Linked DNA regions of Stegostoma tigrinum. The protein of the gene in region 1 interacts with the protein of each later gene in a pairwise test. Links are inferred from orthologs where the notes say so. Each region holds a gene or a part of one and is shown on either strand. Other genes may lie near its edges. The genes, in order: dachshund homolog 1-like and fgf12a.

Region 1 (15,975 bases):
CTTCAAACTGCTTGAATATTTCTTGGCATGATAAGCATTTGTATCAAAAGTGTACCATAGTTTTCATTAACAAACTATAGCTGTTGATAACCTGTATGGTCCACGGGTTCAGATTTTAGATACAGTAAGTTTTACTTACCAAGAAATTTCAACTTTCCAAATTGTCATTTTACTTAAACCTTTAAAAAGTATGCATTTTCCTTATCCAACTGTTGCTATCAGACTCCAGTGCATAGAAGTAAGCAGTAATTCAAACTTATGACATAATTGCTTCCCAATGTCAGTTGTGGCTTTTTTTTGTACAAACGGATCTTCCCTTCTGGTATCTATTTCATTTAAAAAAACCCTGTTTCTGCCACATTCAAGTGACAATATAAAGTTTGGCATCTCCTTTCAGTAACGCTGCCATTATTATCACAACAGTCCTCTTCCTACTTCTTTTTTCCTCATTGTGAGACGCTGGACTGAGAACAAGTTACCTATGGGGAATAGAGTTACATTTTTGGAAAAATGTTGCATATTCTCACTCACGCCTGTTCTAGCCTATTGCCTCAACCATTATAAACTGGTTTGTCAGCATGAAATGGTTACACACTTCAGGATTCTTCTACAGATGTCACAAATAGAACATATTTGTATTTCTCCCTTGTACAAAGACATCTTAACAATGCAAGGAATCACAAAGTAGATTGCAAATTACGAGATATACCTGTAAAGCTTCAGATAATTACAATGCAAAGCCTCTTCAGTCTTCCACTGAATTTCTGATGGAAATGCTTCTTGTACTGTTTGTTGGGGAACTCCTATACTTGTGTTAACTTAGACTTTGGCACCATGAAATCTACATTTTGCTGTTGTCATTGAGACTTGATTTTGACTAAAATTGTTCAGCTTTTCCCTCACAGAGCAGTTTTTGAAAACCTTTTAAAGGAGGGGAAAAAGCACACATTTGAAAAGTAGATTTGGAATTGGTGTATCTCTGTTCAAGATGTGCAATACTATTTTTGTAAGTAATACACAACACATAGGTTTATCATGTGGCATATGATAATGGATAGCAGTAGCATTTATTTAATTGCAAAACATGATGTGGAACTAATCTTTATTTGTCAGTCAATCTGGATAGTTCCTCCATAATATGAGTCATTGAAGAGTTTCAGATGTCACATTTGGAAATTTAAAGTTCTACACAGACTCCAAGCCTTGTGCTTATAAATAGAAATAGGAGATAAAATCAGTGGATACATCCTTGGCTTCCTTAAGTCTATTGTATATATCAGGGGTATGTTGAGATCATTTTCAGCAAAAAAAGTCATCGTTCTAATTAAATATTTTAATGAAAATGTGTGTATTGGAGTCAAGCAGTAATAATAGTATAATGACCCAAGAAATCATTCCACTATTATCAAGAAAACTAGCATGGTATATACACTAAAGAAAGTATTATTGCTGGACGTAGTGAATATATTGCTAATGTATAGCTTACTTCACTTGTGAAATAACATATTATGCATTCTGCTCAAGCTCATGTACATGATCCAAGCATATTGATACTTTTGATTATGCATGCATCTATTCAAGTAATGTGCACAGAATACTGGATTTGAGCAATGGTATCATGTATTCTCATAGAACAAGATTCATGAAGTAGAATCTTGCATCTTCTATTAAATGTTATAGCCTGTTTATAAAAAAACTAACTGATTAAAAAGGGATTTTGCATGTTAAATATGTAACAGACAATAATGGTATGTATTAAAATATTAAGCAGACTAATTCCATATTGAGAAGGTGCTTGAGCACAATACTAAAAATTGTGCACAGCTAGTCCACTATGCAAAGATTTAATGATCTTCAAGACAAAACTTCTGCTTTTATAAAACAGTTGAATAGTTTCAGATTTGCATAAATCACATATATATTTGCCAGTGCAATACAATATGTCACATCCCATATTATTGCATTAAAGAAAAGCTCATCCTACTACACAGTAATGCATGCAGCAATTGTGCAGTGTGTAAAGATTCTCCATTCAGCCAGTAAATATTTTATGCTCCATCACAGGATTAAGCTGTGATGAAAGAAACTAAAATCACACATCTAACAAAAATAAACATTTGTCAATAGGAGGTGGGGGTAAAGTTATGATTTTCAAAACAGTCTATCCCTGCTCCATGGTATACTATGAAGTCACTTTCATCATTGCATTGTGTTAACGCTTTGATTATCTGAAGGGTAAATTGATTCAATACCTCTTTATGCACCAATGAGCATTAAGTGACAGTGATGGCTGATCAAGTGCCATAACTTTGGGTGTAAGCGCTATGATTTGATAAGATTCTAAAACAGGCTAACACAACATTTTCTTTCCAAAAAGAATATTTACAATCACATTCTAAAAACCTGTGGAACCATATTCCAGCAGCTACAGATCATTGTGAACTTCTCAACAAAATAGGCTAACGATAATCTATTTAACCGTACTTACAACAAAGCTCTGATATCTTTCAACTAGGAGTTATCAAGGTAACATATTTCAAAGTAACTATTCCATGGGATGAGATCATACATCTGAATACCAGACTACATTGTGTCAGGAAAGACACCAACATGTTCCAATTTACTACTAAGTTCTTCAGATGAAAAAAAAATCAGGTTTAGTGATAATAGGCAACAGATAGAAAAGTATCATTTTTAATGCTAATTTTCCTTTAATACTGAAAGTTGGCCTATATTTTTTAAAGTAGTTTAATTACTTTAGATCAACAGAAACCTGATGAGGGCAAAGAGATAGTTATCAATGTGGATGCTGTGAATGTTGCCCTTGCAACATTTAATATAGCCAGAACTTTCTTTAAAATTGATATGGATCATTAAACAGCACATTGTACATAAGAACTCAGTGATGTGCCATATATTCTAAGGCAAAAAAAGATCAAAGTAAAACTATTAATGGGTGGTGTAAAAGCACAATTGTTGGCAGCCATCTGGTACAGCTTGTTATTTTATAACATCATGCAAGTGAGGGTATACTCAATGGTTTTTTATTAGTTTAAGCATTTATTCATGGAAGCCTCTTACTGTTGGAGATGGGCGTAAAGTGAACAAAAGGTATTGTCAATTACACCTTATCTCCTTTGAAACTGATGTTACTTGTAATTGTGCAAGCATTAGGTAAACACAATCCTTTTAGGAGGACAGGAGAAAATGTAGAGAACATTACAGGAAACATTTCAGCGCTTATTATTGCAAAATGCACCACTGCGATTCGCTAGTTTTCCTCTAAAAAGTACTTTCTTAGAAGTTAAAAGTTGCCTGTTCTTAAAGGGGAAGAAAGTTGCAGACACACACATACCCTCTCTAAGAAACTGTTCGGAAATTTGTTTTGGGATACGTGAGAGATACTATAAAGCGTTAGCTTAAAGCTCCGTTTAAAGAACAAAATAGGGATAGACATTGTCATTTGCTTTTAAACTCGATACAAATAGATGGAAAGGGAGAACATTGCAAAGCTCCAGAACAGGGTGCAATTAACATGCCCTACGTACAACAGTTTTTTTTTTGCCGAAGCATTCTCTTGCAGCGGAAGATTATCTCTCTAAGCGCCGAAACCTGTGGCCCGAATGCACTTTCTGATCATACCAAAGGCATGGGCGCTATTTTCGTGGGATTGGCTCCGATCACCTCATTTTAGGGCTAAACTTTCCGTTCGGACCAGCAGGTGGGATTAGAAAGGGGAGGTGCGCGGGCTCCAGTTGATGATTTATATAATCAGAATAAAGAAACTAGGTTTTCAAATGTACTCACACACACAGAGACACACACACGCCAGCAAGGGTACTTTAGCCATCAGCACAGGTTATTGGCGACCAGGAACAAGGGGATACCGAGCAGGTGGCGCGTTACCAATGAGTTGCTTGAACCGTTGGGTGTTTGTGGTATGTCATACAGTTTGGGAGATTTTGCCCGAGAGCTGTTGAGTTGGTTGGGACTTGAGAGAACTCACCTTTGGAAACTTGCAACTTAAAACTGAAACTATCCGGTTGGAGGTTGAAGTGAGTTAACGGGGTAAGGGCATGCGTGTGTGAAGGGGTGGGAAAAGGAGTTGTAAGGCTCTGCGAGTGCAAGGGTAGAGGGCTCGGGAAGGGGAAGGATGATCAGAGAAAGAGTGGAGATGGGGTATTGACATGGGGGAAGGGTGATCAGAGAAAGAGGGGAGATGGCGGTGAGATGGGGGAGATGAAGAGGGAGGGCAAGGGGGGAGATAAGGAACGAAGGATGGGGAGGGATGAGGAGGGGAATGAGAAGTGAAATGAAGAGGAAGTTGGGGGAACAACTCATCTTTAGTCTTTTTTAACTGGGCACAAAGAGCTGTTACATTTATCAGCGTTTCAAAAAAAATGTTCTCGCTTTAACCGAACTTAAATTTCTGCTGCTAAGGAACGTAAGAGTTAAACTTTTTTTGTTGTTTGCTGCGGAGGGCTAGAGATTTACCAGGGAAGCCAAGTTACGGGGAGTTGTTAGGGTGAGGACTCATTGTCCAGTATCCCTGAGCCCGAATTGTGCCCTGGATGGCCGTGTTGGTCTCTCTCTGGTCATCACGAGGAGCTTCTCTGTCAACCTCCCCCACCCCACTCCCCGCCTCAATGACCATTGCCCGCTCAGACGATAGTGTGGCCCGGGACACACTCCCTCTCTCTCTCTCTCTCTCTTACCTGGCGTTGGTGCAGTCGTTGTAGAGGATTTCGAAATCCTTCCTGGAGATGAGTTTACAGCGGTTGACCCCGGGCTGGATGGCGCCCAGGCCCCGCAGGATGCGCACTTGCTCCACATTGCAGACCACGGGCGTTATATCCAGCCTCTTCAACTTGGTGTAGACGGTGTGCAGCCCGCCGACCAGGTGCTTGAGGAAGAGGTCGAAGGCCTGGGGCAGGCAGATCAGCTCGTGTCCGTCTACGGTGAACGAGGCCACCTTGGCCCCCCGCAGCTCCACCATCCTGCACTCGTTGTTCTGCGGCGTGTTCTCGACCGGAGACGGCGTGGAGTAAACCGGTTTCGTGCCGCCGTCCGCCCGGAATAAACTCTGTGCTGTCCCCGCTGTCCCTGGCCCTGCTCCCGCTGCAGCTCCGGCCGCCGAGGAAGTGATTGCAGGGGAGGATGAAGAGGAGGAAGATGAGGAGGATGAAGGGGTCGAGATTGGAGTCTGATTCACCGGAGCTGGTGGGATCAGTGCAACCGGAACGGCCATGGTTGCTGGAACATAGAAAAATTGGGGGAAAAGAAAAAAAAGACAAAAAAATCCCCACTGTATTTCTCCTCTTGAACCAGAACAGGAATCAACACACATTCATTTAAAAGAAAAGGTGGGTTTTGTGACTGATCAAAGTTGATCTCGGCTCCTGCACTCGGCCGTTGAAGTTGTTATTATTGTTTTTTTTGTAGAGAGAAGCGGAGAGAAGGCGAAAGACTGTCGGACAAACACACACACATAACACACACATAAACATCAAAAGGAGGAATGACATGTCACACGGTATCCCGGGGGCGGAGCAATTAACTTTCCAGCCAGGAATAAATCAAATAGCACCCTATCCACTCGCACCGAGAGGGAGAGAGAGACAAGCGAGCAGCTTCTTCTGGCTCCGCACAGCCAAGGAGAGAACGAGTTGCAGAGCCGAGCCGGGCCGAGTTTACAAATAAGTCACTTCTCGGATCTGTTCATCGCAATTTCGTGGAAACACAGAGGGATCAACTCGCCAAGTAGCATTCACTTAGGGCAGCAGAAATCCACCCACCGCAGAACATGATAACCAGGCAGTACCACGATTAACCTGCCCCTACTTTAAAAAAAACCATACCAATTAAACTGAAGACGCCCCGTCACACTCCCCCCCCCCCCGCCGCACACACAATAAATTAATGCAAGTCCATCCTTCAGTACATTGTCAGCATCATTGTTCAAAGTCAAGAGATCAACTTTGCAGCTACATCAGATTCCATACACAACATGCCTCCCTCTATAAAGCAAAGTCTTTTATGTGGGTCCCTACAGAGACCTACCAGACATCCTGCACTCTAGCCACTTCCAAACCACCAATATGTATCGGTCAGATGATTTTACTCATTCAGCTCCATCGACTCTTTTTTTTAGTAATAGGGTAATCAATTTTGTTGATTACATCTGCAGTTGGAAAAATCTGCGTTCAGACTCGGACAGCCTTCTTTAATTTTATATGAAAACAACAAGAAATACCAAAGTTATTAAAAACACACCAGGTCAGCTTTTTACACCACTGACTCTCCAGCTGGGAAATTCTACTTTAGCCAAGGGATATATTAACCACGAACTCACACACTCATATCGAGCGAACAACTACACACGATCGATTCCCGAATCTGAATTCTATTCAAAAATAGGAATCAGACAGCATAGACGAGATTAGCAGCAGCGGGGTCGAATTTATAACATCCATTGTGCGGGCCCGCTCTCTGATTCTGCTAAGATTACTCAATTTAAACGCTATGACTGAGTGCGCCAAAGTTGCTTGAAATCCTTACAGGGGAAGAAAAGACGTTAGGAACGGGAAGTTTTAGCAAACGAAACGACAAACTGACTAAATAAGACACATGGGTGCCCTTTTTCCTTTATTTTATTTCTCCTTCAAAAAATTCACAAAGACCTTTAAGGGGACATGGAAAGTGCTGGTGTTCCTCGGTGCATGGGAACAATTATTACTCCTGGCGCAAAGATTAACACATTAAATGAAAGATAGTTACCCACCTCCCCATTTTATTTAAAAGGTTGACACCGTTGTAATTTGACATAAAGAATGACCAGCCTTTAAGTGCGGAAGCGGCAGATCATGATGCAAAGCAGATCTATAAGATCATTTCAAATTCAGAGGCCCTGAAACAACGGCTTCAATTTGTCCTTTTGTTATCGTCCTTTCACACATCCTGAGTTCTAATCACAGTTTCTCATCTCCATGGGGGCAGCGGGAGGAACGCGCAAACAGCTGATTTGTAAAATTTGTCAATATAGTATGGGGGTTTGCGGTGGGGGAGGCGAGTGCACATTCTCCGAGGTCCGGAGAAATTGCTTATTCAACATTGTCACAATTTAAGGTATCGAGAGCCCTCATTTCCATTAGTGAAGAAAAGGCTACTATCTCCAAGAACTGGGCTTCACGCCTGCGGTACTGATCTGACCGTCAGCAGAGTTGCACATATCCCCCCTTTTCCAACAAGCCTCAGCTCCGGTCCACACACTTCCAGAAACAGTCTTTTAATAACGGCATGTTTGGTTGCTTGGGGGAAGAGTTTGTTTATGTTTATCCCGTTAAAAACGATTGTGTTTGACCTTAGATAGAGGGCTACATATGTGAGATTAGGAGCTGTGAATAAACAGGGCTTAGCTCCCAAAGCAGCTGACAGTCAAACTTGAAATTCATTTAAATAGCGACTAGCAGGATCTCATGATTAATAGATGCAAGTGTCGAACTTGCATTCCAGGCACGACCCAGTGTAATTGTGTTTGCTTTTAATTGAAGTCAGGGCGCTTCAAGAACTTGCATTTCAATTCATATGGAAGGGATATTTAAAAAAAGCAGCCGCTTTGACCGCAGATATATGTAGATGAAGACTGAAGCAGGTCTGACAAACAGGCAACGTTTCACAATCTGCAGTAGCAGTAAATAAAACGAAAATCGCGCACAATTAACCCGCAAAATCTAACAAATCATCCGGCTTTTTTCTGCTCAGCCGTGCCCAATTCTCAGGTTGCGGGGTCACTCTGTCTGTAAATTGTTACAGGATCAGAAGCCGTTTGAAGAATATGAGTTCAGACGCGGCGAGAAATTGGAAAGACGCGGCTTGGAGAGAGAAGCCAAAGTGTGCAGAAAGATCGCAGACTTGTTTGGAGTTGTCCCGCCAACACAAATACACACACTTCTCCAGTGAGACGGCATTATGCGGGCTGAGACCGCTGCCGTTTGCTACTGCTACCGTCTCTCTCTCTCTCACTAATTTCACTAGGATTACGTGATCACAAGTTCAAATTTATTGGGTTACCGTAAAAGGTACCAAACACATCAGGTTGACTGCACGGTCTTAATGCTGACTCGGATAGGAACTCAGGAAGGAGGTTAAGCCAGCAGAGGAAGTCAAATATTTTGTAAACACTCGTACTGACACCTACAGTATACACGGTTAAGTCCGGGTTGATACGCGCTTACTGAACGGATATTCTAAACTGCCCGAAACTTAAATTCACACCACAAGCTCCTCCTAATGGAGGTTTCATCGCACTTTTATTGCTGAAACAGGAATTCCAGTTCTACCATATTCTCCATCCCTTTAAGTGACGCTGCGCAAGAATTTTCGGTCAATAAATCCCTTTCATCTTTAATTAATAAGTAAATCACAGCTATCTATTGGCCCATGTAACACAATATTTTGGTCCTCTCTTGAGATCAAAATGTATTCACGAACCATTGACCAAGTACAGCATTTGTTAACAATCTTTGTAGCCATTATATATGGGACAGAACAGGCAATAAACATTAACCAATCACATCGCGAGTATGTGGCTCAGTGTATTAAACACTGGATAATAAATCGCTAAATTGATCAATGATTCACGGAAACAGTGCAAACTGCAAATAACCAATAACCCGTAATGCACACTAAGAGTGATTTAAAAGTGATTGCTCCAAAGGCACCAGACAGAAACTGAATGGAAGCGACTGGAGGAAAAGAACATGTTAATTCGCTCCTCTCCTGCATTGTGGCAGATCAGCGAGCGAACAAATAAAAAAAAAGGCACATTTTGTGAGCAGGTCCATCTTGTCTCGACACGTCCCTGAAGAATCTGGTCGTTGCTTGTCAGTTTCATCAGCATGCATCAGCTGCTTAGGTAGCAGATATATTCAAATTTACCGCAACTCCCTGAACAGCTATGATTCATACGTGACACACACACACACACACACACACACAGGCAAAGAGGAGAAACGAGGAATTGAACTAAATGCGGAAACTATATCGTGCGCTTTTATTATTATTTTTAAAAAGGGAGGGTTTATTTAATTTCCAACGTAAATATGATGCATGGTCATTTTGAGCTAATTGCATCCGCGGACTGTTACCTATTTGTTTGCCAATGCTATTTACGCAGCTCTGTGATGTTGTCCCTGTGATGTCGGTTCCTGGGTGCAACTGACTTAATCCTGGAGTAGGCCGATAACCGGGACAGATCGTTCGAACTAAACGGCTAGAAGTTTTCAAAAGAAACTTTTTTTAAAAATCGGTGCTTTCTGAGGTTGATTGCAGCCCCCTGGCTTGGACATTCAAGGATGGAAAGGTTTTAATTTGCATTTGAATTGCAAGAACGACCCGTAAACACTCCCAGGAACGATTTTTACAATGTGCGCTAAAGGTTTCTGAACATTTCAGCCAATTTTCAGAATCTTAATCGGCCTGATTTCAAGTGGCGCGGGATAAAAATGACTTTTGTTTAACACACTACTGAACTGTTTCTTTATTGGCCAAATACAGGCTCTGAAGATCAAGGTCCGTATATTTGAGTTATAAAGCTGCACAGCAGAGTGCAATCGAATTAATGCTGACTCGTTCTTTATGCAAAGGGAACAATGCTCATATTAATAGGGACAGTTTTGCAAGTGACAGGAACATTGCTAAACTGTAATGATTTAAACAAAAAGTGTATTCAATGCATACTGAGAGTCTCCTTTCGCAGCCTTCAGAGTCCAAACGCTCCGTCTTAGTGTTTTGTGAAAGGAAGTGAGACACTTCCAAGTACTATCCAAATGCATTAAAACAGTAAACAAACATGAGAGAGTTTATCGATTTTGCTTTCGTCTTGCAACGAAGCGACCTTTCTGGAGAATTAATCATACTAAACACAGCTCTGCTGCGTTTGAAATCACCTCTCAGCCTTTCGACAATACCTTCTTGATTATACAAAGTTCTTCTTTTATCATTCGTCAGTGCGCATTTATTAGAAAAGTGCATCCACTCTTAACACACTAACATTGATCCATTTCTTTTCGTTGGAGGCTGCAAAGGTGTCACTTTGTGTTAATCTGTTGCATGTGTGTTGAAGAAAATTGCGTTTCAATATTCTCATTATGAAAACATTCTTACGTTTACCAGACCTCAACTTTAAAGATTTAAATTCCCGTTAGACTTCCCAGTTTATAATCTATTGGGAAAATGTTTTTTTTAATAATGTTATTACTTTTTGCCCATTTTTATATTTTATTACTTTTTACAACTCATTTTTAACAGAAAACGGTAATAAACTTTTGAAACGAATATCATTTACGAGGCGCGCTTTTCTAAAATAATCGATTCGGGATATTTTTGCTATCCGTTTGTTTTCTGAGGACAGACTGAAACAAAATAATGAGATAAAAGCGACCTCTATAGGACAAAGGTAATAATTGTTCTTTTTACCAAATATTTTACAAAAAACGTGTATGCAAAATCGTTCAAGTGCTTTCAATTGTATTTGCACGCAAGTTACATTCGCAGTTTTCTTTAGAAAAGGAAAGTACATAAAATAGGTTTGGTTAGTGACGGTTCTTCCCTCGATGATTTCATTTGGGGCTTAGCCAGTTGGTTGAGTTAAAATGAGATGTACAGGGGACAAAAATATTTGTTTCATCTTGGATGGATCAAGCACAAAGTAACAATACAGATTTTTCGTCAGGTTCCTGCTAGTTTATGATTAAATCCCAGAATTTCACTGCCATTGTCCCAAATCAAAGACTTAATTTTTCCAAAGGCTCATCACTTTGTGAGTCATGAAACTGTCTCAACAATGTCATTAGTTTAGCCTCCACTAATTTTAACTAATGGTTCCTTGTTTTATTATTTTACAACACTTTGAAACATTCCTCTGGTTCTGCCTGGTCTGCTGTTCATCTCCCAACCCATCTGTGTAACTGTTAATGCAGGTGTTGTTCATTCATCACACTTATTCTCATTGACCTCTAATTACAAGTTCGAGCAATGCCTACATTTTAAAATTCTACTCCTTGTTTTCAAATCCTTCCATAGTTTCACCACTCCATACCTCTAAAATGACTTTCAGTCCTTGGAGTCTTTGTGACCTCCATGTGTGTCCAGCAATAGTCTTTTGTACATCCCCAATTTATTCAACTTCAACTCCACCATAGCTGTCTGAGCCTTCAGCTACCCAGGTCCTAAGTTCAGAAAAGTCTCTCACTAAATCTGTCCACCTTTCTTCATTTAGATGCACCTTAAAATTTACCTTTTTTTTAGATTCATAGAAGCTAGAAGCAGGAGTAGATCATTTGGCCCTTTGAGGCTACTCAATCATTCATTATGATCATGACTGATTCTGTATCTTGATGCCATTTTCTCATGCTCTCCCCATTTCCCCTAATTCCGTTAACAACTAAAAAATAATGTATCTCTTTCTTGAATATATTCAGTGACTTGGCTTCCACAGTATTCTATGATAGATAATTTCAAGGTTAATTACCGTCATGGCCATTTATGGCCTATCCCATAACCTAAGACTGTGAACCCTGGTTCTAGGGTCTTGGACTCTTAATGTTTCCTCATATTGACTGTAGTCAAGTTATGTACAGTAAACGTTCCTGTGTATACCTTGAGATGTTTTATCACATTATAGATGGACAAAATTTTATTTTATCTGTAAAATTCAATAGCAAGCAGATTTTCAAGCAGTTTCCTCTCAGTTGTCTCTTACCAAAGGTAATGTTGCCTTGCACTGTAATCCTTTGATATTAAGGATCAGCCTTATTTCACCTCTGTGCTTTGTTTGCATCCTTCTGCATTGCCGTTTGAATTGCATGTGAATATAGGAGACATGGCTAGTAAATTTGCAAATGATACCAAAATAGGTGCTGTTGTAGACAGTGAAGAAGATTATCTCAGAGTACAATGGGATTAGATGGGCTCATGGGCTGAGGAGTGGCAGATGGAGTTTAATTTAGATGAAGGTGAGGTGTTGCAATCTCATCAGACAAAACAGGGCAAGACTTATACAGTTAATTGTAGGGCCCTGTGGAGTGTTGCTGAAAAAAGTGACTATGGGGATGTAGATGCACAGTTGGGATTTCATGTTGCAGCTGTACAGGACACTGCTGAGGCCACGCTTGGAATACTGCATACAATTGTGGCTGTCCTTCTAGTGGAAAGATGTTGCTATAACTGAGAGGGTTCAGAAAGGATTTACAACAATGTTGCCAGGACTGGAAATTCTGTGCTGTATGAAGAGGCTGAATGGTCTGACGATAACACAGTGTGGAGCTGGAGGAACACAGCAGGCCAGGCAGCATAAGACAAGCAGGAAAGCTGATGTTTTGGATCAGGACCTGTCTTCATAAATGGCGAGGGGCTGGGACCTCAGAAGTAAATGGAGAGAGGATGAATGGGGCTGGGGAAGCTAGGTGAGCTGGTGATAGTTGAGTGCAGGTAGGGAGTGGTGGGTATTGGTCAGTGAGATGGGAGGAGCAGATAGGTGGGAGGGAAGATGGACAGGTTGTGCTCTGTACACAACAAATGACCACACCTTCTGGTCACGAACTGTTTCAATTCCCCCAACCACCCGCTGGGTGACATGTCCATCCTGGGCCTCCTCCAGTGTCACAATGATGCCACCCAAAAGCTGGAGGAACAGCACTTCATATTTCACCGTGGGACCCTACAGCCCAATGGCATAAATGTGGATTTTACAACTGACACAACTTGTCCAACATCTCTTCCACCATTTGCTCCTTCCAACTCACCGACCAATCCCTACCACTGGCTACCTGCGCTCATCTATTACCATCCCACCTACCTTCCCCTGTCCCAACCATCTTCTTTCTACTTCTGAGCCCCCTTCACCCCATTTCTGAAGAAGGGAGGTAGGTTTAAGGTGAGAGTGGAAAGCCTTACAAAGGACCTGAGGAGTATCATTTTCACACAGAGGATGGTGTGTATATGGAGTGAGTTGCCTTTGGAAGTGACGGAGGTGAGTACAATTACAAGATTTAAAAGGCTTCTGAATGGGTATATGAATAGGAAGGGTTTTGAGGGATATGGACCAAATGGTAGCAAATGGGGCTAGGTCAAATTGGGATGTCAGGTTGGCACAGATGAGTTGGACCAAAGGGTCTGTCTTTCTTCTGTATGATTCTGTAAATTTGAGCACAGCCTTGTGAAAGGTGAGTAGGGCACCTTCCAACTTATAGTCAAGCAATCTAGTTAAATAATTAATCATACCGTTCACTTTCTGGTTCATAGTTTTACACCATGTTGAGTATCAGAATTACTGCTATCTCCAGAACCTGATAACAATAACTATTGGCAATTGCTACATCATTAGATCATTATAATGACTTTCTCTTACTCCTTCTGGATTTATTTACTTGTTATTTTGATCACCTTGTCTGTCATGTCTCTTCCTTCCAAACCTCCATTGATATTGTGGTGGCTTCAGAATACTGGCCATTGAGGTGCACAATAATCTTACTATGTCCATTATCTGAACACTCATTCACTGTAAATTCTTCATGCTATTATTGGCTTTGGAATTTATGATTAGGAACCCCAATGCCCAGTAACAAACATAAATGACTCTTTCAAAGAACAGGACCGAATGAAATATGAAGAGTCCATCCAATGCATGCCTTTTAAGGCTGTCCCTTGCAAGTATGGCATTGCCATTTAATTGATATATTCATGTTCTGCACCCTGCCTTATGTGATTCATGTCTCCTAAACAGGTGGGGAGAATGAGGTGGTGTATGAACATTCAATATCCCTGCAGGATTCACATTGTACGTGTTGATCAATGTGCAGTCAATGTGTCTTATGAGGTACAGGCATTAAAGATGAATTGGCTGTTGAGATGTTCAGGCAGATGTGAAGGAGGAATGTCAAAGTAAGTCTTGGGTTTGGTTTGTTTGAATAGAGTCAAACTCCACTGTTTGCTTGTTTATTTGATATGCTACTGTACAGAACTGAACTGCATTTGTGGCTATATATATGTGTAAGGATATCTTTTCTGACTAAAGTATATTTTGAAATAAAACAGGTTGTTATTGATGTGGCCACCCCTCATGAATAATTGTACCTATCCTTTGTAGCAACTTCCTACTCCTTTGAATTAGCATTGCACTTGAAATTCTCCCCACTCCAAAAAACCTTCATTCTCATTTCTTCAGAAGTGCAAACTTTTTGCCAGCAGCAATTGGGAAATAATTTGTAATGTATTGCTGGAAAACAAATTACAAAAAATGAGCAACAGTAGACCAAAATTAGTGCATGGCACATGATGTAGTAGAGGGTACAAAAACATGAAAACTATCCACACCAAAAGAAATGCTTGTCACAACCTTTTCAAGGGCAACTAGAGACAAGCAGTAAAAGCTGACCAGCCAGCGATGCCCACATCCCATAAGACAATAAAAAAAGCTGTGTTATAATGAAGTTGCAATATACGGACTATTAATCTTTAATCTCATTGACTGATTTAATGTCTAGGATTTTAATTTGAAAGAACACCATTTTAAATAAAACAGGACAATGTTTTCAAATTGCTTCCGAGGTCTCCTGACCCACAAGATAGCCGAATTTCTAAATGCCTGCAATATGGATAAATAGAATACATACCTGGAAAATCCCCATAGAATTGTACATTATCATTGTTTGAAATTCTGGTTAAAGAGAAAGGGCAGTAAAGCAGCAGTCACCTATTCTGCAGAAACTACCAGAGATGAAAAAAACAACCAGAATATATTATGCAAAAGAATGCCGAAGAATCCCCAATCTATCTTGATAGTTATGACAAAAGGAGATTGGATCTCCTTCACTATAATGGCTAGTCCCTATTTTGTGCTGTCAGTCAGCAATCAGATGACCAAAACTTCCCTTTGTCTGTCTGTTGGTTACAGAAGGACGTTAAAGGAGGCCTGCAGGATGGAATCACAGTGTTTTTCAAGCTCGGACCCTATCTCAGTTACAAGTTGGAATACATCACAGAGATAGATAATTTAAAAATAGCACTCTTATTAGCATGTAGAATAGAAAAATACCATAGCAGCCACTCAGGAAGGTGATAGACTGCAATTTTAAAGAGGTTGACTCCAGAAGAACCAGCATTCAGCTTCACAACCTTCAAGACTGCAAAAAAATCTTCTAAATGTATAATTAATTTGCTTATAGGTTTTACCTCTTTCAACACTCTTCCCTCATGCATGATAGTGTGTCTGTATGTCACAGGATTGGGAACAAGACTTTTTTTAGGAAGTTTTATACTTCATTTGAGTGATTCTATAGTAAAACAAGCTCTTTGTGGTTACCTGTGTGGTTTATTTCTTCATAAAGCTTTTAACATGAATGAGTAGAAATTGTATTGAAAACACAACTGTTAAAAAACACAAGCATGATGGTAAATGCTGTCAAAAGTGAAAAGCAGGGAATTTATTAACTCTCCCTTGCACTCTTTCATTGCAACAGATAATTGGGAGACTGAGAGAATCCCAGGAAAGAGAGAGAGCAAGAAAGTTTTAAAAGGGCTCATCCCATATGATCCGTCTAAAAGATTGACATCTTATAAATCTGTTACACATGGCCAAGGAGCTTACTTCTCAACCCAAACATCCTGGCAATTTTGTAAGTCTTAAAGGTGAAATTTCTACTGTGTCTTAAAAAGGTAACTTTGTTAAGACTGTAATTTTTTTTTCCTTGCAGACATTGAGGGAATATAAAGAGTTGCACTGCAGCCACAAAATAATTGGCAGCTTGCTCAAATGGTGTTGGTAGGGGGTTGCCAACCTTCCAGGATTGTGCTGGACTTCTCAAAAATTAATCTCCAGTTTATATGCACAATTTACATTTGATAAGCTTAAGCAGCCTGGTAAAAAAGAATAAGTGCACTCAAGATAAAAAGTGTTTACTCATCATTTGCTTTGAA
Region 2 (15,475 bases), on another chromosome or scaffold:
CCCTCATCAGGATTAATGCCTGTCTGAGGTTTGGAGCTTTACAAACAGAATATCTAATCCAGAGCCTGTCAAAGAAGGTTTTTCTCAGCAAGGCATTTTCCTGTCATTACACCTTCATTAAGTGTGGGAAACATCAGTTGAGGCTTAATTGCTTTGCTTTTCAGAGTTTCAGCACCTCGTCCTTGAAGTAATTAAGATGATATTTTGATTACATCTCAAATATCAATTCTAGTGGTTTGGACACTATACCGCCTCTGGGTGGTGCTAGTGATATCAGTTGCATCTCTGGGCTGGTTTAGCAGTCCCCACCACAGGTATCTGCCAGCTGAACTGAAAATTCAGACAAAGCTGGAAATATGACGGAGTTAATGCCCACACATCCTGTCCTATATCTGTGTGCATCTCAAACATACGTTCCCCACCTGCTATCCGTGAAAGACAATGAGGGAAAACTGAACTGGGAGATTCCTCTTTGACCCACATAGGCAACTGAAACCAGTCCAGACAATTGTGTTGGCCTAGATTTACATAACAGAATATTTAACCCACCATAAAAAATGATCTGCAGCTCGGAGAGAAACAGCAGTCACTCAAAGGAATTTAGTCGAACTATTTCCACTGCAAGAGTCACAGCCTATTCCTTGAGCCCATCGCTCGATTGTTAGGGACAGCAGAACAGCCAACCTAGTTCTGCCCTGTTGTAATAAGTAAACGTGATTGGATGTTTGAATCCAGATAAACGCAATCTCGTCCCTTCAATATTTTATAGATGGCAAGCACATCACTACCAAGTCAATGCTTCTTTGAGATTACCTGGGTAAGTGAGGTGTTTTGAATGAGAAATAAATCTTGCGGCCCACTTTACTCCCTTTTCAGAGCCTTAAGCTTGTTTGGAGACCAGTGAGGTGATTGTCATTGTTAGCAGCAATGCTCACTGCTGTCTATTGATCCTTAAATTCCTGGATAAAGACCGCTGCCAAACACTCGTTTAATGTAACTGCCATGCCTCTACTGCCCTTTCTAGTTTGCCTCTGAGCATATTTCAATGGTCCCATGAGGTGTTGATGGTTTTCTGATTCCTTGCAAGATGGAAAACCTTTGCCAGTTCCTGTCACAATTGTCCACAATTTTACTTTCTTTCTCATTTGTTGGATGTGAACATTGCTGGATTGGCCAGCATTGATTGACCATCACTTAAGATGCAGTACCCTCTGTAGTGTCATTGAACTTGATTTAAGATCTTACTTTCTCTTTGCTTATGATACGATTTGTTGTGCTTGATATTACACACTTTTAATTTGGAGTAAAAAGAAATTTGCACATCTTATTTGCCTTCAGACATAGCTAGTTAGCTGCTTTAGCTTCCATTTCTTGGATTTCTTCTTCTTATTTTAGGGATTTGCATGTTTTGGCTTATCCATGTACACTTGTCATTTACCTTTCAGTTCCCTCAGCATTGCACAGTTGATCTGTTCCAAAATTGTCTGCCCTTTTATTAAAGTTCATCCTTTTCCACTTTGTCATTGCCAGATTTCTGGTACTTTTGGTCCCCATTGAAATAGTCTAACATTGGGGTAATTATTTCCCAGATGTTCTCTCCCACAGGAGCACATTACCAATTTCACTCATTTATAACTCACGATTCCTGTTTGATATGATGGGCACAAAATCATTGCAGATTGATGGGTCAGGATGTCTTAACTGCAGCACATTTTGGTCAAGATTTGCAGCACAGGCTTCTATCTTTGTGAAGCTGTCTAGTCCAGAAACACTGGCTGTCCTTCTGACGTCTGCAGTGTTTGAAGGTGTCCCAGTTATAGGCACAGCCAAAAGTGACACATGCATTTCCTGTGATTTTGTATCTGAATTGTTATTGCCTAGACACGTGCTTTGAAATGCTGTGTTTTGTGGCGCTCAGACGCCCATTAGCTGAATGAGCAGGCATTGTAGTAGTCTGCCTGTTTCAGAACCTTTTAACTAACACATCTAACAGCTGGATTCTGTCACTGTCAGTCTGTCACCTTAGCATATTGTACATTGTAGGACACTGCTACATTGCCCCCTTCATAGATCACCCTGCATACTGTTCATTAAAAACCTGAACAGTTTTGATGGGTTCTGTTCTCTTCCACTTCTGTTCTCACCATACAATAGTTCAAGCTTTTACAAGAATCAGGTCTCAGGACATTCACATCACATGCAAATCATTAACTATGGACCAACAGATGCTGAATAACCTGGATCCAACGAGTTGAAAATGCGCATTTAGTTTTGTCTTCTCATCTCCCCATCTTCCTCTATCAAGCGCTGCTACTGAACTGATCAACGTTGTTTCCTGGTAGGAAGTCAGCCCATTAATCACAGGGCCTTTGAGATGGGATTTCTTCCAGATTTATCTCTCCTGATTTAGTCCTATATCAGAACACTTGGATCTGCGACTTCGAGAATTGAAATAAGTGGAAAATTGCTTTAAATTTTATAAGCAAACCCCAGAATGTACGTGGGACACATACAAGGTCCAATCATTAAAAGTTTGCAATACTCCTACATCTGGTGAACTGTTGGAAACAAATCTTAAATTATATCAGTAAGCAACATGCTCTGAAAGGCTTAGGTTGACTCAGTTGTTAACATTCCTGTATCTTAGTAGGAAGGGTTCATGTCTTATTGCATTATTAAAGAATGTAACCAATTCAGAGCGGTATTGAGAGAGTTGGGCTTCTGCCCTGCCCACCAATCAGATTAAATAGTCCTCCTTCAAGATTTTGGAGTAGATTAGTCCTCCTTTTCATCTAATGTTTGCAAGTAACTTGAGGTTTCCAAGAATAATAACTGTGACTACTTCAGAACTCATTCACTGTAATTGATTTAATTCAGGATGTTTTCAGGTTATAAGTACTGTACTCATATTTCTTAATTAAGGGGCAGTCTCATTTGAGATATTTAATGAGTGGAGGACTTACTCGATAGAAAGAAACCATTTTCCCTGGTGGGAAGAAATCCAGAACAAAGGGCACAAATATAAATTCAAGCTAGACTGTTTGGGGAGTGAAACAAGGGGGAGTGAAAATCTGGAACTTTTTTTCCTGCCATGCTGATAAGTTGGTGGTGGGGTGTTGGTCAGTTGAAAGTTTCAAAGCAATGATTGATTTGTTTTTGTTGGTCAAGGTTATTACAGGATAAGGAGCAAGAGCAGATAAATGGAGTTGAGGTCCAGATCATGCATGATTTAGTGAAATGGTGATATAAACTCAACATGCTGAAAGATCTCCTTCTGTTTTTAAACACTCAGGTGTTCTTTGAGTGAAAGCATATAGAGTCCACTGATGCAGTAAGGTTAGGGTCCTTTAGGGATCACTGCAGGGACTAGGGTGAATCCACTTCTCTGGTAATGATATAATGATTTAATTTTGGATTGTTTCTATTATCTGTTTTTAGTTTTTTATTTGTTCCAGTACCCTGCCTAATTTGTTTAAGCATTTTCTTTTAAAGAGTGGAAAGGGAGATTAGGTCCAGGCAGTGGACCATGTAGGGCATTGTTGCACCTGACTACCTGCCCCTATTCTGTGGTTACATGTGCAACCTGGTGTCCTTGGACAGAGAGCGTACAGTGCCCATCAGAACACTTCAGATCTTCTGCAACCAGTGGGCAACATGGGAGCTGGGGTGCATCATCCTCCCTGAAGTGATATTCTGCGTAAAAGCTGTGAAATTCCTTTGCCTCCTGGGGTTGTAAATTCTAATTTCATTGAATTTGGTAGTGGGTTTGTATTTTAAAATCTGCAGAAAGAAGAATTCATGGTAGCACTTAATCCCAATCACTATCCACCATTGTTGGTAACACAATGTAAGATAGTTAAAATGATAATTTTATTGGAAAGGGTTGAAGAGATTTTTTATTGAGTACTCGAGGTTTTTTTGGGGCTAATGGAATGAAGAGAGATTTCCTGTTAAATGCTCCAGTTTGTCAGCTTGCACTCAATCTTTCCTCTTTCAGAATCTGAGTTGCTAAGGAGCAGAAATGCTTCATTAAAGGTTGAGCAGGTGCCATTAAATCTCCAAACTTTCTTTGCTTAGTTTATTTTTTTAATTATTTAATCATTTTTCCTGATTAGTCTGTTCAGAGATGTTATTACACACCTCTGGAGTAGGTGGGACTTGAACCTGAGTCTCTCTGACCAGGGGAGGGATACTACCAGAAGAGCCCTTTTCTGCTTGGCTTGAGGTTCTGTAAAATCTTGTCAATTGAACCCAGTTTAGTGATGTTTTCCAGCATCTTGCAGTGTTTCTACATAACAATATGGGCTTGCATCCAGTCAAAGTATCTTTTCTAATATTAGGGAAAGTGTCTCGACCTCTTGGATCAAGCAAATTTCACAGGGAGCTTCTTGTCTGTGCCTCCCCCATTGCTGAAGATAATCAGCTGGTTTCAGTAAAATAAACTGTGAGGCTTTCAAATGAAATCAAATGCAAATGGTTCCCCTTGGAGATGAAAATCTGTTGCCCTTACCTCATGAGGGTCTCTGCGCAATACTAGACCTACACCATCATGGTTGACTTTAACTGCCTCTGGTGTGGCCTGGCAAGGCACCTCGTTTCATTAAAAGCAGCAATCCAGGATGGACAATAAACAGTAGATTTTCCAATGTTGCCCACGTCCTGAGAATGATTTTTTTAAATAAAAGGCCTGTGTGATTATCTATGCGTATGTGTGGGTGTCACATTCATACACAGATGGATTTGTAAACAACAACCCGTGAGTGCTGAGTGCTTGTTTGAATGCCTTTTAAAGTCTATTGTAGCAATTTTAGGTTGCTTGTCTCAAACTGATGGGTTTGGGTGAAATTTGGGTTTTCCACCCTCACTGAGTTCATTTTTCATTTTGAGTAGGGAATAATTTCAGAGGGAGACTGAAACGGGTGTTCCTCCTGATCCCTTGGTTTTCCTACCCAGCCAATAAGATCAAGCGTAGCTCCATCTGACTCCCCGTTTGAGACATTCTAAGTTCAGATATCAGGGATATATGATGTATGCCCAGGTGAATATATTTTTTCAGACAGTAAATAGCTAAGCATGCTTATTGTAAATGCCTTTGTAATTCTTTCTATGTAAAACTCTTTGACAATATATTCCTATATCGGTGTATTGTGTGGATGATAAATGCTGGCATAGACTATCTGGGCTAAATGGCTTGTTTCTGTGCTATCACATTCTGCGTTTCCAACTGCATTTGTTTCTCAGATTTTTGTGGCTGTAAATCTCCACACTTTGCTTCTTTCTTACTGTATGGGTTACGGCTGTTGCTGGCAACACCAGCATTTGTTGCCCATCCTTAGAATTGATTGGCTGTCTAGACCATTTCAGAGAAGACACAACATTGCTATGTGTTCGAGTCATTTGTAGATCTGACTGGGTGAGAATGGCAGATTTCCTTCCCTGAAGGACATTAGTGACAGGATGGGTTTTCAACAACAATCAACAGTGGTCTCATGGTCACCGTTGCACCAAGGTGGGATTTCAATCTATCCCCTAAAACATTAGCCTGGGGCTCAGGGTTATTGGCTAGCAACATTACCAGTACCCCAATTCCTTCCCTTAAGTGTGCACATCCTCTGTACATCTCTGCAATGTGCATCACCTCTGCAGTGTGCGTCTGTGTGTACGTATGAAATGGGAAGACGAGGCCACATTATATGTCAAATCTGCTCTGCTATTCAAGTTGAACATCTTGATGATGTGCTGCCTCAATTCCAGCTTCCCGCTTGTTTTCTGTATGACTCTAATCCCTGCCAGACCAGAGCTCTATCTCAATCTTAAATATGCTCAATGACAAAGCTTCCACAGCCCTGAACTGCAAAGACTCTCAACCCTCTCAGTGAGGTCTCTATGTCTCACTATAGGAATAGGAGTAGACCATCTAACCCATTCTAGATCATGGCTGATCATCATTTCAATGCGACTCTCCTGTGCTGTCCCCTCTCAATATCCTTAGTTTTCAAAAATCTATTACTTTCTGCCATAAACACACTCAGTGACTGAGATCTCGTAGCCCTCTGGAGTAGAGACTTCCAAAGGTTCACAAGCCTCTGAGTGAAGAAACTCTCCCTCATCTCAGTCTGTCCCTTATCCTGAGATTGTGTTACCACTTCTAGAGCTGTCACCATTTACCCTGTAAGAAATTTGTAAGGTTCAATCAGATCACCTCGTTATTTAAAGCTTGAGAGAATACAGGCCTAGATTCCTCTCCTCGTAAAATAATACCAACATACCAAGGATTAATCTGGTAAATCTCCGTTGCACTTTGTTTATAGCAGGTATATCCTTCCTTCAACAAGGCAAAGTACACAATACTTTGTCGAGACTCAATACAACAGCAGAAAGACATCTTTTTGGTTTCAGTGCTCAAGTCCCTTTGTGATGAGAGCCAGTGCACCATTTATCTTCCAAATTGCTTGTTGACATGCATGCTAGCTTCTAGTGACTCATGACCAGTGACACCCAGATCCCTTTGGACACCTGCACCTCACAATGGTCCAGCATTTCAGAAACAATCTGTCTTTCTGTTTTGTTCTGCCAAGTGTATAATTTGACATGTAATCATATTATATTCCATTTACCATGTTGTACTCTATTCATCCAGTCTGCTGAAGTGCTATTGAAGCCTCCTGTGTCCTCTTCACAACTTCCATTCTTATTTAGTTCTGTATCATCAGCAAATTATTACCATTGATATCCATGTTCTTGTGTATCTGTGTAGGCTGTGTGTGAATACAGTGTGCCTGTGTACAATATGCAGTGCGCCTGTGTACTTTCCCTATATACAGTATGTCTGTATCAGCTCTGTGTATGATTTTGTGTATATTGTGTTTGCCCCTGTATGCTTCATGTGTTTCTGTGCACATCTATATGTCTGTGTGCGTTATATCGTGTGTTTCGGATCACCTTCTGTCATGTCAGTGTATACTGTATATTGTGTATGTTTGTGTGCATATTTTTGTACCTGTACAATGTATATTGTTCTGTGAACTCTGTTGTGCGTGATTTTGTGTACACTGTTGTCTCTGTGTCCACTCTGTGTTTCTGTGTACTCTGTATGTGCTGTGTTTCTGTGTCCACTCTATTTTGTGTGTCTTTCTGTGAACACTGCATTGTGTGTGTGTTTCCGTGAACACTGCATTTTCTATGTTTCTGTGTATATTTCGCGTGTGCGCTCTATTTTGTGTGCATTTCTGTTTATACTGAAATTTGTGTGTTCCTGTGAATACTGTATTTTGACTGTGTTTCTGTGAACACTTTTGTGTGTTTCCGTGAATATTTCGCGTGTGCATTCTATTTTGTGTGTGTTTCTGTGTGTACTGAATGTTATGTGTGTTTCTGTGAATACAGTATTTTGTGGGTGCTTCTGTGAACACTGTGAGGTTTACGAGGGGAAGGATCGATTCGGATAGTCGAGGAGCATGTGTTTGCAGCCGCAGTTCCTCTCTCTTCCTCTTGGCACTGCCTCGATTTACAAGCTTCATCCAAATCTCACTCACGTACAATTGCGTAGCAGTTTGGGAGAAGCTGCACAAGCGACAGGAGGATCGGAGAGTGACCCAGTGCTGCACCTTTCCTGCTCCGGGAATTGAGAAGCCGGCGCTCCATGTGGAGCAGCTTCGGGAGATATCCCTGGACCTGGTGCCAAGTTGGAAACTGCCTGACCCTCTCTGACGTGTCATTTTCTCTCTGGGAGAGACGGGGTGGGGGGGGGGGGGGGGGGTGGTCTGTAGGTGGAAGCTGCTGCCGCTGAGTCCGAGGAGGACGAGAAGTTCCAGCTCGGGCTGATCACTGGGAACAGGAGCTGGAGGAGGGTGGGTCAGTTGCGGGGGGTGTTCCGAGAGAGATGGTCTGGTTAAGAAGTGCCTGGGAGACTGTGCGAAACCGTATAGAATCAGCGTGCTCGCCGTCCCGCCGCTGTTTAAACCCGAACTGCTAGAAGCAAGGACAGCTGAGAGCAGAGCCACGAGCTTGGACTTGCCTTTTTGCCTGGAATTAACAGCGACGTTTACCTACTGGACTTTTCACAGGGAGAGAGAGAGCGGGGCACTTTTTCTGTCTTGTCTTCAAGGGAAGTCCGTGTGAAGCTTAGAACAGGAGCGCCTCAAAGCTGGGATCTTCCTATTCTTCAGCCCGCTCCTTGCTTAGGGGTCGAGGATGTCCCTGGTGTCCGGGGGGAGGGAGCTGGGAGATCCCTGATGTTTTGACTTGACCCCCTCCTCCCAGCTTTCGTTTTCTTTGAAGAGGGCAGCTTGCCTTCTCGATGTTCTGTTAATTTGCACTCTTGACCCGGGCTTGATTCTGTTCTCGTAATTCCCCCCCTCTCTCTGGTGAATGCTGCCCCCCCAGGCTGGGATATGGCAGCTGCTCTTGCCAGCTCCCTGATCCGGCAGAAGCGGCAGGCGAGAGAGAACAACACCGACCGAGTGTCAGCAACCAAGCGGAGGAGCAGCCCCAACAAAGCCAAGAAGTCCTTGTGTGAGAGACACGGCCTCGGGGTCTTCTCCAAAGTCAGGTTCTGTAGTGGCAAAAAGAGACCAGTCAGGAAGAGAGCAGGTTAGTGTTAACTCTTCCTCTGCTGCCAGCCGCTGGCCACCCTTGTTCACAATTCTCTTCAATTCCCTGCGTGTTTCCAATTTAAACTCTTGTTGGCGACTATTCTCCAAAGTACATGTGCTGGCCTCAAGTTAGCTAATGGTGTGTCTGTGTGGGTGACTGTGTGGGTGGATGCCTATGTGTGTGTGGGTGGGTGACTGTGTGTGTGGGGGGGGCGGGCGGACACACACACACTCACACACACACACACACACACACACTCACACACACACACACACACACACACACACACTTATGAGCTTCCAAGCTCAAAACATCTCTTTCTTTCTTTCTCTTTTCTTTCCTCCCCCTTGCACACATTTGCGCTCTCTCCTTCTCTCTTACAAGCATACACACACAGTCTCACTTTCTCCCTACTCTCCCTGACACACTTTCATAATCTTTCTTATGATCCCCCCACTCCGCACCTCTCTTCCTCCTCCCTCCCTCTCTCCTCCCCTTCCCATCTCTCCCCCTTCCCATCTCTCCCCCTTCCCATCTCTCCCCCCTCCCATCTCTCCCCCTCCCATCTCTCCCCCTTCCCATCTCTCTCCCCCTTCCCTTCTCTCTCCCCCTTCCCATCTCTCTTCACCCACTCCCCATTCCCCTCCTTGCTGCTCCCCTGTGCCCTCACTCCGTTCCCTCTTCCTCTTCCCTCCCTTTCCTCCTCCCCATCCTCCCCCTCTCTCCCTTTGCCTCTCCCCTCCTCTTTGATCTCCCCCCTCTTCTACCCCTCCCTATTTTCTCCTACCTCTCTCCACCCTACCTTCCGACCCTCTCGTCCCGTCCCCCCCATTCTCGCACTCTCTCTCATGTATGGAGTCACTTTCTCTCTCTCTTTCTCTCACACATACACTCATACACTGCTAGGCAGCATCCACTGCGCGCAGTGCCTCTGCTCTCACTGCCTGTGCTGCAATGGAACTGAGACTGAATCACATTCGACAGGAATAGACAGTAACCAGCAGAAGTCTCGCACGTTGTGCCAGCATTTGTATTGTGTGCTGTAACGGACTCACATCTGGCCCATTTATGCCTTTGTATATGTTTAACATTGCTTTGGAACCTTATTTCACATTATTCAGTTGTCCTGGGCGCTAGATGAATATCAGGGTGCAGCTTGTGTATTTAACTTGTGTGGATCGTGCTTCTGAGGGTGTTGACTGCATAAATTTAATTTGGTGGGGAGGTGGGGGGTTGAATAGTAGATCGGAGCTGCAGGATGGAAGAACTTGCAATGATGTCTTGATACACAGCCACTAGGGAATGTTTGATTGTTTGAGAGGGTAAATGTTGCTTGTCATGTATTGGGTGACAGTTGCTTGCGATCGCTGACTTGTCACGCCTCAGTTGTAAAGCAATCCTGCTGTTTGCATGCTTCAGTACAGGGTTTTAAACTTCACACAGGTTGATGTATGTGTGTATGATCATCTGGTGTCCGTGTGTGTGTCTGACTCTGTGCGTATATCTATCTCCATCTGATGTGTATATCTGCCTCTGTGTGTATGTCTGAGTGTGTCTATCTCTGTCCATTGTGTGTGTGTGTGTTCGTATGAACATGTCTGTCTCTGTGTATGTATGTCTCAGTGTGTGTGCCTGTCACTATATGTATGTCTGCCTCTATGTATCTCTGTGTATATGTGTATGTCCGAGTGTGTGTCTGTGTATATGCCACGATGTGTTCCCATTCAAACTAATACCAGATGTCCCTCTTCCTTGTCTAGTTGTGCAGAGGGATGTGCGTCTTGCAATATTCATCTCAGCCCCTCCACAATCTGCAAGCCCCACTCTGTTTCTCCGTTGTTTGGGATTTGATCCCTTTTTCTTTTTGAAAAATTACGGATCGAATGCTGGGGTTTCAGGTCACTTTCCGTCATTATAGAGGCAAAGCAGTGAAAATATGAAAGACGGAAATGCTGTAAATACTCAGTGGATCTGGTAATATCGGTAAAGAGAAACAAAAACATTTCTGGTCAATGAACATTCACACAGGTATGATTCCATTTTGATGAAAGATCATTGACGTGAAATGTTAATTAACTCTCTTTTGTTCTGCACATATTTGCGACTAATTGTTTCCTGTTCTCACGTCCGGGGAGCGGGATGATGCACTCCACTGGTTAAAATCAACTTCTCTAGGCAGACTGCAGAATGAGAATCGTGCTCGGGTCTTGTGGACAAGAAAAATTAATATCAAGAATATAAAAAAGGGAATCAGGGTAGATGGATTACTTGCCATAGACTTAGTACATCTACGACAGCTATAATCTGCTTTTGTGAAGAGCAATTTGTTGTGGCTCAATGCCTCATTGTGTAAAATTGCTCTGATTTTCAGATTGATCTGTTGTCAACTGCCACAGAAACTGACCACATGGTGTCGACTTTGTCCCTGGGCATGTGAGACAGTGCCCTGATATCCCCCCGCCCCCCCCCCCCCCCCCCACCATCGTCATTTGCTAGCTTATTGATTTCATCGCTATTGCTATTTAGAACTAACAACAAATTACATTTGTGTAGCGTCGTTAATGCATCAAAGTATTACAGTATGCTTTTTAAGGAGATAATCAAATAAATATTGACATTGACCCCCATAGTGTGATATTATGTCAGATGTGTAAAAGTTAGGTTAGAGAGTGAGGGTCGCAGTGATGCAATCTTAAAGGAGGAGAGGGGAATTCTAGCTCAGAATAATGTTGAGCAAGAGGCCAGAGCTTTAGAGACACTGAGATCTTGGAGGATAAAGAGTTGGAACAAGTTACAGAGATGGGGAGGTTTGGAGCAATTTGAAAGCAAGGATGGAAGCTTTAAATAAAAACTGACAGTGCTGCAGAAACTCAGTAGACCTGGAAGCATCTTTAGAGAGAGAAACAGTTAATGCTTCGATTCCAGTATGGCTCTTTGAAATCCATGTTCATTGCATGATGGAGCCACACAGATCGTTGAACATGTGCTGGTGGTGCTGGGAGTAAGGATTGTGTGCTAGGATACAAGATAAGGTGTGTTAGATGAACTGAAGATTCTGGATGTTGGAGGATGGAAGGCCAGTCAGGAGAGCATTGGAATGCTTGAGACTGGAGGATGGAGTCATAGATATGCACATCACGGGAACAGAACCTTCTGTCCAACTCGTCCATGTCGACCAGATAACATAAATGAATCTAGATCCATTTGCCACCATTTGTCCTATATCCTTTTCAACCCTTCCTGTTCAAGTACCCATCCAGATGCCTTTTAAATGTTGTAGCTGTATCAGTCTCTTCCCCTGGCAACTCATTCCATACACACACCACCCACTGTGTGAAAAAGATGCCCCTTTGGTCCCTTTTATATCTTTCTCCTCTCACTTTAAACCTAAGCCCTCACGTTTTGGACTCCACTACCCTGGTAAAAAAAAAGACCTTAGCTCTTCACCCCATCCATGTACCCTAACATCTCCACAGTCACCCTTCAGTCTCGGACTCTCCAGGGAAAATAGTCCCAGCTAATGCAGCCTTTCCCTACAGTGCAAAATCTCCAGCCTCAACAACATCCTTGTCAACTTTTTTTCTGCACTCTTTCTACTTCAACATATTTTCTGTAGCTGGGAGACCAGAATTGAACCTAGTGTAAGATGGTCATCGTGGTACAATGGGCAGGAATATTCAGAAAGGCCTATGGACAAAGGGGAGAGCTGACCAGGAAGCAAATGCGGGGTACACTACACCCATTATAACAAAGTGTGAAGCTGGATGAACACAGCAGGCCAAGCAGCATCAGAGGAGCAGGAAAGCTGATGTTTCAGGTCTGGACTCCTCTTCAGAAAAGATTTCCTGCTCCTCTGAGGCTGCTTGGCCTGCTGCGTTCATCCAGCTCTACGCCTTGTTATCTCAGACTCCAACATCAGCAGTTCCTACTGTCTCCAATTCTAGTGTGAGTTGTGTTTGGCTGTAAAAGGGAAAGCTGCACAACAATATCCAGTGAGATAAGACCCACAGAACGCCACTGAAACCTGTAAGTGTTTACTATAATTGTAACTGTGAGAGTTCTTCATGCTACATTGTGCAACCTCATAGACTCGGGAATGGTGGCCAATCTCGGTGTAAATTACGAACTTCGTAGTCATGTTTGGAACGTAGTGGTGAAAACATTCGCTTCTCCTCATCTCAGGATGCCCACAAGTTCCCTGCATTACTAATTGCGAGGATAGTCACTGCTAGAATGTAGGACCTGTGGAAGCCAACGTGGGCATGGTGAGATCCCATGAACTGCAGTGAGGCAATTAATCAAACTGTGCGTTCAAAATTTGGGGTTTAAATGGGGGATAACTATTGGTCAGGAGAGTGTAGAACACACCGCTGCTCTGTCATGCGTTGTGTTGTCAGATCTTCCGCAACCAGCAGCAAACGAAAGGTGATTCATTTTTGTAGTACCTTGTGTTGTTGTTGCTGATATTCTGGCGCAAACCATCATCATGCAGGGGAGAGGGAGGGAGAGGAGGACAGCCACCAAAATTGACTCGACCCTGTTCTCTTTATTTTTTGTTTGTGCTCGATTCGCCTTGAATATTAATCTGAGCATGATCATGCTGATTTTCACTGTATTTTCACTTACATGTGACTGACCCAAGACGAATTGGTACGATCCGGCACCCAGAAACCAGAACTGAGGCCATTCTGGGGGTTCGTAATACAGCATTGTTGGTTGGGCTAACTGGGAAACTGAGTCAGTTTTCTGAGGTTCTCCTGGGTCCAGTCACTTTCCTAGGGCCAGCCTAACAGGGGCAATCTGTTGATGATTGATAAGGAGTGATCTAACACATTCAGGCTTGATCAATCGATCTTACCACCCGTCACCCTGCCCCTGCTCTGCTTTTATTTTTGCTTCAGTTTCAGGGGTTCACAAGAAAGGGAAGTGTTGAATGTGAAGAACATGATACCAATGCTTTCTCTGCTGAGCTGGCTATTGGCTGCATCTACCTTGCTATCAGTTTACTTTCCGGGCTTATCCCGGGATAACTAAAGGCAGTTTATTCATAATTTTATGAATTCACCTTTCCTGCATACTGCTCATGTTTTGGCTGATGTCCCATTATCGTTCTCAGAATAGATGATCCCTCTGAAGACACGGCACCATTTTCCAATTTAGCAGAAAATGTTTTTTAAGACAGAATTCACCCAGGCTAGGAACACAGTGCAACTCGCATTAATAATTTATTAAGACCATTTATTTTTTATAAAGCGGACGATTCCTGTCTGATATTGTCCAAATCTTAATATTCTCAAAAGCTGCTTCACAAAAGTCCAGAAGAAATTAATTCTAGAAGAAGACTGAATGTCTTCTCGGTAAACTGGGGACAGCCCTGTTCGAGACAATGTTGAATTGAGAAGAAAATTTAAAGAAAACGGAAAGAACTGCGGATGCAGGTAATGAGAAAGGGTCACCGGACCCGAAACGTTAGCTCTGTTTTTACTTTCACCAATGCTGCCAGACCTGCTAAGCTTTTCTAACAACTTTGTTTTTGTTCAAGAAAAATTGAACTGGTGAAGGGCAGAGAAATGAAACCCCAATTTAACACTGGCGACCCTCGCAGGATTCACTCTGATTGTGATTGGTGGATTCTTGTGAGTCAGTGTTGATATGACGATAACATTGCCTGGATTCAACTTTTTCTTTGATTGGTGAAAGCTGGAATCACTCTCACTGTGATTGGTGGAATTCCAGCGTCTAATGTCACTGTGATTGGTGCAGCCTCTGGATTCACTTGTTATGATTGGTGGAGATATCTTTATCCTCCGACGATCCTTCGCTCAATTAGGTACAGTCTTTCTGTCATTCCTGCAGTGAAAACTATTAGCATCATTAATCCAGATTCAGCAAATGTTTCTGATCTGATTTTCCCGTTTAAGACCTGGATCAGTTTCATTTCCTTCAAGTCATCTGAGGGAAAACATTCATTTTCCTTCATCTGCCTGGTGTTTTGAACTCTTGGTCTTTTATAGGAAATTACATGGTCTTGATGGGGATGGGAGTAAATATGTGATACATAAGCGCTGGCAGGTTATGAGTCACACCAGAGAAACAAGTGGATCTTTTTCTACAAGTAATTTGTTCATATATTCACTTGCCCCTCAGCTGTTCTGTTTGGAGTTGTTCACCGTTTGCAATTGAGAATCTTGAAGGGTATTCCTGTTCATGGCCTTTCTGTCACTCACATAGGTTTTGACACAATGGATTATCTCTGCCATACCCAGCATCTTTTAAAAGCTTGACGCTTCAATAAGCACCCAGATATGTGAGCTGAGATGACTTTCCGTATGAATTTGCCTATCTGCTTAAAGAATTCCTGAAGTTTGGATGGGTTCACTGACTGGAATTGAGTGACAAAGTTTTCCCCTGCCATTTGTTCCTTGGAGCACCCTGAACCCACAGTGGGGACAGATGGCTGCCCAGCTGATCCTTTAAAGTCCAAAAGCAATTGCAATCATTACTCTTGGGAGTTGGCAAAGCTGGCATCTCTTTCCGAAACCTTGTCACAGCAAATTGATGGCTGGGGGCAAAGCAGTGGAATGAATGATTATTCCTAGTAGTTACTAAGGAGGAGCATAAATTTTAGTGCTTATCTTGAAACACAATGAGATGAGATTAGAAGGACGCTGCATCAGTACGGACCTCTGTTACAGAATGGTGTAGCAATGTCTGACGGACAATAACAGTTTCCTTACACTCCAGCAGCAATGTACTCTCAAACTTACAGGAGCTTTTTAAAACAGAAGTAAGCAGTTTAGAGTCACTGTTGCCCATCATTAGCAGACAAAGTTTGAATGCATTTGTTTGTTTTAAAATAACTAGGTTCTGTGCAAAATAT

What was found.
Region 2: the proteins of dachshund homolog 1-like (region 1) and fgf12a interact in binary tests that used the Homo sapiens proteins (3 or more experiments, as listed by UniProt). The two-hybrid records come from large-scale screens. The link is inferred for Stegostoma tigrinum from reciprocal best matches to the Homo sapiens genes DACH1 and FGF12.

Annotation. Positions count from the first base shown.
Region 1 is NC_081359.1:24,909,415-24,925,389, forward strand, and holds the start of dachshund homolog 1-like, read right to left. Parts: upstream 5,889-15,975; 5' UTR 5,348-5,888; coding exon 4,716-5,347; exon of another isoform or gene 4,324-4,715; intron 3,112-4,323; exon of another isoform or gene 3,074-3,111; intron 1-3,073. UniProt on the Homo sapiens protein: Transcription factor that is involved in regulation of organogenesis. Seems to be a regulator of SIX1, SIX6 and probably SIX5.
Region 2 is NC_081367.1:58,733,632-58,749,106, forward strand, and holds the start of fgf12a (fibroblast growth factor 12a), read left to right. Parts: upstream 1-7,797; 5' UTR 7,798-8,393; coding exon 8,394-8,592; intron 8,593-15,475. UniProt on the Homo sapiens protein: Involved in nervous system development and function. Involved in the positive regulation of voltage-gated sodium channel activity. Promotes neuronal excitability by elevating the voltage dependence of neuronal sodium channel SCN8A fast inactivation.